2 linked regions of the Tribolium castaneum genome follow. The protein of the gene in region 2 purifies or fractionates together with the protein of the main gene of each other region. This does not show direct contact. Links are inferred from orthologs where the notes say so. Each region holds a gene or a part of one and is shown on either strand. Other genes may lie near its edges. The genes, in order: Nak and AP-2alpha.

Region 1 (4,342 bases), on a different chromosome or scaffold from region 2:
ATAATAAAATTTAAATATTCCTACCGGTTTGTTCACAACCTCCTTGATGGATAGGGAACAGTTACTTTAACAACTAAAAAATGTCACTCTGATAGTACAGCAATTCCAGAAATAATGCAACTTGCCACCGAAATTTCAAAATAATTTTAGTAAAGTTTGCAACAGAAAAGTTTTTTTTTATTCTAGATTTAAAATTGGAGAGAATAGCCATTTAAATTGAAGTAATATTTACATACATTGCCTTGTAGGCTATAAGGTATATAATATAATAAATTCTTGACAACTGATGTACAGTCACGATCATAAAGAATGTGACCCCTATAAACCGGCCCGGGTAGTACGAGGCTGAGTGCAAACCACAGCAATAAATCTTTTAGGTCGTAAACGTCGTTAAATTAAATCAAAGTAAGTTATCTTTTACTTTGCATTGACAAAAGTCAAATTAGTGAAATAAAAATTTGATTGCAATTGTAAACCTCCTCAATTAATCAAAAATGACTATATCGCGTAAAGAGAGTAAAGAATAATTTGATGTTTCATTTTTTTAAGGTAAAATAAAATTTTAATTATTTAATACTTACATTATAAAAAATATTCTGCGCTAATTTTAAAGTAAGAAGGTAATGATTTGTAAAAGTGAATTGATCATTAAGTGACTATAACAAAATAAATGAATAAAAAGAATAAACGTCGTTAAAACTGTTATAACTTCCTAAGGTGTCTTTTTTTGTAAACGCATTAGCACTAACGTAATTAATTGTGAACGCCATCATTGGAGTTTTCTTTGTCATTCTTTATCACAAAGAGTTTGGATAAAACTTTTCATTTAAATTTTTAATTAAGAATACTCTTTTTTCCTAGTTTCCGTTCAAACAAGTTCTGTCGGGAGATTGCACACTTCATTTACTTTAATTTATTTTACATTGACAAACTAAAACTAATAAAACCCATATGATTCGTTTACATATTTAATTACAATCAAATTTCAATTTCTGATTAATTTAACATTAGTCCATTCATAATAAATGACAACTAAATTCAAATTGGTGCAGTTTCAATGAAAGTTTAGTTCGTCTCCAGTAAATCGACCGTTTTAATGGGTAACACACACAAACAAATAACTAGTTGTTGAGTTCAAAATATTAAAAAAAATATATTATTTTTATTTAATTAGAACAGTAAAACCTTACTTTACTTAGCTTAGCTTTTTAAGCTAACACATTAAATAATTACTCATTTAATTTATGTAACACAATATTAATACATTTTGAGTAAATTATTTACATTTAATAATTTACACGATTAAAAAATAAAAAATTGATGTTATAAAAAAAAAACATCATGCTTCCGAGCAGACGAAGGAATGTTTATGACCCAAAAGATTTATTATAGTGGATTTTTTGTCCCATCCGTTATGTGTAAACAAAAAGTAAATTAATCAGAAGTCGTTACACATTGCTCTGTTCTTCGACTTCGTGGTTTTAAAAATTTAAAAAGTCTTACTTCAAAAATAATTGTTAGAATTAGTGCTTTTAAATTATCAAAATTTTACGATTGTTTAACAATAAAAAAGTCTTTTTTGTGTCCTGTCCGTCAATTTGTTTTAATTTCTGCTCCTATTTCTAATTTTACAAATGTGGCTCTAATTGTAGATTGCAAACAGTTTAAATTGACTTCTACTGATACTGTTCATAAAAACAGTAAATAAAATCTAAAAATATGTGTAGTGTCTCGTCTGATAAAATGGAATGACTGACAAAATTTAAGTAAGTTCCCTTAATTAAGTTCCCTGTCCTTCGAGGAGATTTACTACTGATAAACTTACGCATTAGCTGATGTAAACCTTTCGAATATTTCGAATTATCTGGAATGCTAAAGTTCCCACTTTGTATAGCTAAAGTACTTTCACCAAACGGTAACGTAAAAAAGCATAATCTATACAATAAACAGCCAAGAGCCTGCAATTGATTAAATTAAAGACAAATTACTTTGTAATGTTGTGTTTTTTACCCAAATATCAGCTTTCGTCGTGATTGGTTTGCCACAATACATGTCGACCATCTCAGGTGCCCTATAACTCAGTGTTGTGTACCGTTTAATCTCTTCTTCAACGGGAGCAACCCCCTTATCAGCCGGGTTTAATACTTTCGCAGTGGCCGAACCAAAATCACATATCACGTAGTTACCATTTTCACCTACCAAAATATTTTCTACCTGCAAGTAACCAAAGCTGAGTTATTTAGAGTGTTGCCATCAAGTGCAAAAAACCTTTAAATCACGATGAATTATTGGAGTTTTGCAGTGATGCAATCGTGACACGGCCTCGCAAGTATCACAGAAAATGGTCAGAACTTCATGTTCCGTAAAATTCGCTTTGCCACGTTGTTTCATAAGACCGAAAACGTTTTCCTGACAATAAGGCATCAACAACAATACTTCATAAACGCCCCCTCCTGTGGCCGTCAAACTGGAATCTACATAACCAATGATGTTTTTATGGCCACTTAAACTGCTCTAAAAACCGTTACGTGCCTCAATAGTAATAAAATTTGAATGAATTAAAGTGACTTACAGCGATTTGAATTTCACGTTTGGCAACGTTAAGGTCCTGCTCGTTATTAACGTACATTCGTTTGAGTGCGTAGCGCGTGCCATTGGTGCCCTTTACCAGATACACGATCGCAAAACCACCTAAAGCAAGCAATGGGGATTATACGCCCCCCCGAATTGAAACATGCTACTACCTTCGGCTAGAATATCCTCGACGGTTACCGTTTGGCGGCCGACTGTGAACACTTTTCCTATGTAACTGTTACCTTCCTTCGAAGTGTTATCTATTTTAGTTTCGATTTTAGAAAACAGTTTTTTCATCGTGATTGACACTTAATTGGAAATTATGACACATTGAGTTTGGTGAGTGAATGCGGATTCCCCATCAATTTTCTGGCTCCAGACCGTTACGACAGCCCACCTCACACTTGCTACCGCTTCAAATCGACTATTTTTATTAATTGATTAAAATAATTGTCCGCATAACAGTGTCAGTGACGTTTAAGAAAGTCTGACGTTAGATTGACAACTAACATGTGACTCCCCAACCGAACGTTCCCCCAACCGAATAAATTTTATCAAATACTAAACTCCAATAAGCAAACACAAAAATGACCAAAACTGAATTAGTTTTGCCAACTACGCTCTTTGGTGTCTCCCTAATTCTACTAATTAATTGTTTTCTATTTTTTTTAACGAATTCGTTCTTGTGAACAGTCGGGGAAGTTCAATCGTCAATCCTCGGCAAGTTTGGCAGGTCGATAAAAAATGAACTGTTTTGTTGCTATTTTTCCTTAGAAACTCACTGTAACCATGAGTTTTCAATTCAACAACCAACCTTTGGGTAAATTCCGTTGCAATTGTCGTTGTGTTATTCCTTTTGTCCTTTTTTGTAGGAAATGGGGCAATAGTGCCCACCGGAGGTCAGTCAGGGTTCGTTCCATCAGATGCCAGCGATTTTTCCATTTTTCCTCCCGGTTTAAACGACTCTCCTTTGGAATTCAACATGAACAAGAATAAGACTTCAGTGGCACGCTCAGTGGACGACAAAGACGACTCAAGTTTAAGTCCTTCAGACAAAAGGGACAGACGCCGCATTGAGCGAAGGGATAGGGATCGAAGGGACACCGATAAGTCTCGCGATGATTCAGATTCGAACATGTCCAGCTCGCAGGATGTTATCCCGATCCAAAACGGGTCCAGTTTGGGGCCCAACATGTGGGGCGGCATGATGGGTAATTAATTATTCATTCAATTTGTAGACACTTTGAACTACAGAGGACCATAGATTAGGAAACGAACGATTTTCTGTGCCCAAAAAAATAGTACGCCAGAGTACAAAAGAGGGCGCTTCAAGCGTTATTTGACGCCAATATCGATTTAAACTAACTTAAATTCAACCAATTCATTAATCACTTGGAAAAATACAAAGCTTTGCACTCTTAACAGGCTGCAAAAAACTGCCGACTAAAATCTTCATGAGAAACATATGAAACAAATTATTCCAAATGTAAAATTGCGCTTTGTCCCACATTTTTCAAAACGCTGCGAATACTGTTAAGAAAGTTGTAGAGAATTAAATTTTCTTTAAAAAATGTCCGCGAGACCATATCTATCTTCAACAGTTCAAGTCCCAAGGACATTTAAAGATGCTCAGGAGACTATTTCGGTCCATTTTCCCAGAAGTTAAGTATTTGGAAATTAATTTCTACTTAAACTGTTGAAGATAGGAGCTCTAGCTTTCAGCATGTATGTTTTAAATCATTTAGAGATGCCAAAAAAGAATTTAAAA
Region 2 (4,268 bases):
ATACCCGCCACTGAACCGGTAGTTCGCCGTCATTCAGGTAAAAAAATTTATTATGCACTTACCGTTTTGGTTTTTTCTTTGCATAAAAGTAGTTTCCTCCAGTTGAATTTACGTTACGAGCGAAAAAATCGCTCATTATGTTATCGAACGCATTTTATGGGCAACAGATAGACCGGAACAGTCACTTATAAAATTGTCCTTGTTTGCAAAAAGCCGCATTACAATAAATTGGTCCAACCTTCGACCATTTAAAAATTCAGGATGTTACGACACTTCCATTATCAAGTGCAATCAATGGATTGGTGCAAGTGAACCCGTAATGGTGACTTCATGTTTTACTTACCTTGGGTTGAAATGAGAAGGAAGCGCTTTTGTTTAAATTTTTTAACCGCTGATGTCCGAATGATGGGCATGAAGTCATGCGTAAAATAGTGGTATAAGAACTGAGGTAAAGACGTTACCTAAATATCAGTTCGGATGGAAAAATTAGTCGGGTTAGTAATGAAAAATGTTGACGGTGATTTTTTGTAATTGAAGCATCAATACAACAGAAACACAAAAATGTTAAATAATCGCATATAATGTTACAACAACTTTAGCTTTGAATTCATATATTACACAATATTATTTTTACATAAAGTATCATGCACTTTGTAGATGATATAAAAAATAGGAATACAAAAATGGAATTGCAAAGAGTTTGTATTACTAAATCAATATTTTACTTATTTATACAATCAACATATACAAATAATAATTCAAGGCATACTACACAACGTAATCAGTTATTGTAATAAATGGTAAAAAATATATCTGAGGACAGTAGAAAGTCAACTGTTTCAATAAACTCCTCATCTGAAGAACGATTCATTACCAACTCGTCGACCATCCTCTGGTATGATATAACAATATAACACAAGTTACACGTCTCTAATGATATAGTTTTATTTCATATTGAATTTTTAATATACATTCAAGAAGATCGTTTGACCCACCTTAGTTTTTGGTTTAATTCGAGTGCAGCAGATCTGTCTCAACAAAAAACGTTTATTGTACATTTAATTTTCCGCAATGGACCCTTTTCTTCCGAATAGAGGTCTAATGTTATGAATTCAGCAAAAAATTCATATCTCTATAAATTAACTGTCAACAAGCAACACTAACGTCACACACTTACATATTGTCTCAAAGAACATCCTCTTTCTAATATTTTACTGTAAGCGAATCTCAAACGAAAAAAGAGCGCATGTCTGTGCAAATTTCAATATATTAATTTTTAAACAATAAGGTAAGTCTACTATGGAATGCACTCTTACTTACACAATTTTCTAAATTAATTAAAATTGATCCGCTAGAAGATCACAAATTTCTATCGAGACGCTTTCTTTACTAGAGCGCACCGTCAGTCTGTACATCTGCCAAAAAAAAGAAAACAGTTACGAAATTCAAAGCCGCGGGAACCACTTACTTGTGCACTCTTGTTCGGCTCTAAACGAAGAAGACATCCGACTTGCTGCGACCGCATGTGGATAATCCCAGCACAGACGAAATTATCCGGATTTGGATCAATCCCGTCCAGGAGTTGCATCCCGAATCCCATTATTTTTGTTCGCGCGGCTTGCAAGTCCATCTGCTGTGTCGCCCTAAATATCTTCTGAGATCTTTGCTGGTTCGTACTGCAACAAACAATCAGACCCTGCTCACTGCGTCCCGGAAATTACCTTCCGAGGTTTTTCCACCTTGCGAAGAAGGATTCGCCGTTCATTTCAGTCGGTTCAAAGAACTTGTTAATCGTCAATGGAAGTTTGATCGTTATTTTCTGGGGCACGTTGAGATACAGGAAACTGAGCACTATGCTGGGGGCGCCCGTGTAGTCATCGACACACTCCGCGTTGATCATCTGTTGGATTTGAGCACCAGCTTCCAGGACCGGCTCAACAGGCTTCATCTGAATGGTGAGCTTGGAAGCCTGATCGTCGGGCCAAGACAAGGTCGGGACGAAATTTTGCAACGGAACGTTAGTCTTATTTCCGTAAAACAAGCCAAGTCGGCCCAAATTCTGGCGGAACTCGCTTTTAACGCCTATCTGGATCAAGTCACTTTCGAATAAAACGCCGTTGTTTTTACACACGAACCTGAAAGAACACGATTCAAATAATTACCACCGGGTGCAAACAACGTTTTTACTTCTTGGGGTTGTACATGTTGACCGGTTGAGTGGCACTGTTCGAGTTGTTCGCCTGTTTGCCCCCGTAGATGTCCCCAAGGACGTCCAGGAGCACCCCGGTGTTTCCGGAGTTGGGCTGCGCTGTTGGCGGAGTCGACAGACCCAACAAATCGCCAGAGACAGCACTGCTGTTATTTACATCGTTGTTGTGGTTGGTCACAGGTGTGGGACTTTTGTTCTCCTTAATTTCATTTTCTGGGACCCGTCCTGGTTTTTTCTTCTTCAAAACAGCAAGAATCGAGCTCTCTCGTTCGGGGAACGCCGGCATTTCCTCCAATACTGTGGCCAAAACGTCCGAACTTGCAATAATACTCAATTGCAAATATTCCGAAGCTCGTTGTTGCAATTCGGCGTCAGCCGACCTCAGGTTGCTGTGCTGTTTGAAAACTTCCTGTACTTGAGTCCGTATTTCGGGGAACAAATTGATGAATTTGATGTAAGTCGAGAGTAACAAAGCTCGAGTCATCGGCGAACATAAGTGGTATTTTGAGTGGAGAAGTTGGAATTGAACTGAGGGTGAGGATCTCTGATCCCCGGCGATTAAATTGCCAAACTCTCCCAGGATGTAACCCCCGACTTTGACCATGTTCTCGTGACAGGCGGGTGCTTGCAAAGCCTTCAAAAAAATTGTTAGCTGAATTATGGACTCAAATGAGACCTACTTCAAAGACAGTTTTAGCGGCGTAACCTTGCACTTCATCTCGGTTGATAACGATTTGGATCACTCGATACCACACCTCTTCCGACACATAATCGCCAGCGATTCTTATCAAATTTAAAATAACATCAACATACCTGACAAAAAACGTAAAAAAGTGTTACGAAAATCAGGCTTGGTTTACCAAGTGTAATCCGTGGCGTATTTCTCGGCCAAAATCGCAACTTTTAGGACCATTTCTTCCCTAATTGAGTAATCAGCCGTTTCCAAATAATTCAACATTTCTTGGACGATTTCCTCAGCATTGCTCTTATCACACATAGCGTACAACAAATCAACGGCTTGTTGCCTCACTGAAACATCTTTTTCCATCTTCATCGACAAGATAACAACTTCCTGATGTTTCTTAACAGCCTCGTGGGAAAATTCAGACGTTGCTAAATGACACATCGACTCCAAAGCCAAATAACGTAAATTTGTTTCTCTATTACTCAAAAATTGGCCCAACTGGTTACAAGCACGCACCAACAAATTCGCTTCGCTGTATACATAACAAAATGAGACTTTTCAAATTTCAAAATAAATAAATATACCTGTCATTGTGAATAATTAAACTAATGGCCTCGAACAGTACGGCATTTTTAGCATTTGAGTGTTGCACTTTCTTCGATTTTGGAGGCTCCTGCGCTTTATTCAATATCGTTTCTAGGCATTCGTTCAAGCGGCCGCGCACCCCCGGGTCTTCAGCTAAGAATTCATAAAACTTTGGAGCAAGTGTAACAAAAAAAAGTGAAAAAATGAATCAAGTTTCAACCACGGTCCCTTAACAATTGTTAAGAAGAAAATTATGACAAACGCCAAACCATATACATTTAGTTTTAGCAGTGTTTTTATTTTATTTCTTCCCTTTAAGTACTGAATTTTTTTTACATAAAAATTGTTGACTTAGACGTTTTTCTTTTCAAAATTGCAATTAAAGTCATCTAATCCATTAAATTGTCTATAAATCTAAAAAAAAACAGATATTCCGTCGAAAATTAAGTTTAAGATTTGTGAAGCGTCCTTCTTAACTAAACGATTCCAAAAACTATTATATCATACCTCATTTTACAAAATCGGTTGGCTAGAGTAAGTGTTTCTTAATGGGTGGTTCGCCAAAAAAAAGTAGTGTAATGGCGAAATTTTAAAACGCTAACGTAAAAAATTACAAAATATCATCGTCAACGTGGGCTACAAATTGTTTGTGTACTGTTTTAGTCCCGATTTTTTTTTTTAATTAGTTACGTTTTCAATCTGAAGATTCATCAAAATTTGCATTATTATCGAACACCTGAAGACGATATCACCGTTGTGTGTTTATAAAAACAGAACCCAATGTTTAAT

Evidence for each region.
Region 1: the proteins of AP-2alpha (region 2) and Nak purify together in Drosophila melanogaster (affinity purification with western blotting; 3 studies listed by BioGRID, with this or other methods). This does not show direct contact. The link is inferred for Tribolium castaneum from reciprocal best matches to the Drosophila melanogaster genes AP-2alpha and Nak.

What each region holds. Positions count from the first base shown.
Region 1 is NC_087394.1:25,678,877-25,683,218, reverse strand, and holds the start of Nak (serine/threonine-protein kinase sel-5), read right to left. Parts: upstream 3,098-4,342; 5' UTR 2,872-3,097; coding exon 2,745-2,871; intron 2,692-2,744; coding exon 2,573-2,691; intron 2,515-2,572; coding exon 2,269-2,514; intron 2,215-2,268; coding exon 2,011-2,214; intron 1,959-2,010; coding exon 1,826-1,958; intron 1-1,825. Other genes in the region: ecto-NOX disulfide-thiol exchanger 2, read left to right, coding at 3,364-3,394, 3,447-3,785.
Region 2 is NC_087403.1:6,346,189-6,350,456, reverse strand, and holds the end of AP-2alpha (AP-2 complex subunit alpha), read right to left. Parts: intron 3,633-4,268; coding exon 3,479-3,632; intron 3,427-3,478; coding exon 3,070-3,426; intron 3,023-3,069; coding exon 2,890-3,022; intron 2,844-2,889; coding exon 2,188-2,843; intron 2,136-2,187; coding exon 1,722-2,135; intron 1,677-1,721; coding exon 1,469-1,676; intron 1,416-1,468; coding exon 1,338-1,415; 3' UTR 512-1,337; downstream 1-511. UniProt on the Drosophila melanogaster protein: Adaptins are components of the adapter complexes which link clathrin to receptors in coated vesicles. Clathrin-associated protein complexes are believed to interact with the cytoplasmic tails of membrane proteins, leading to their selection and concentration.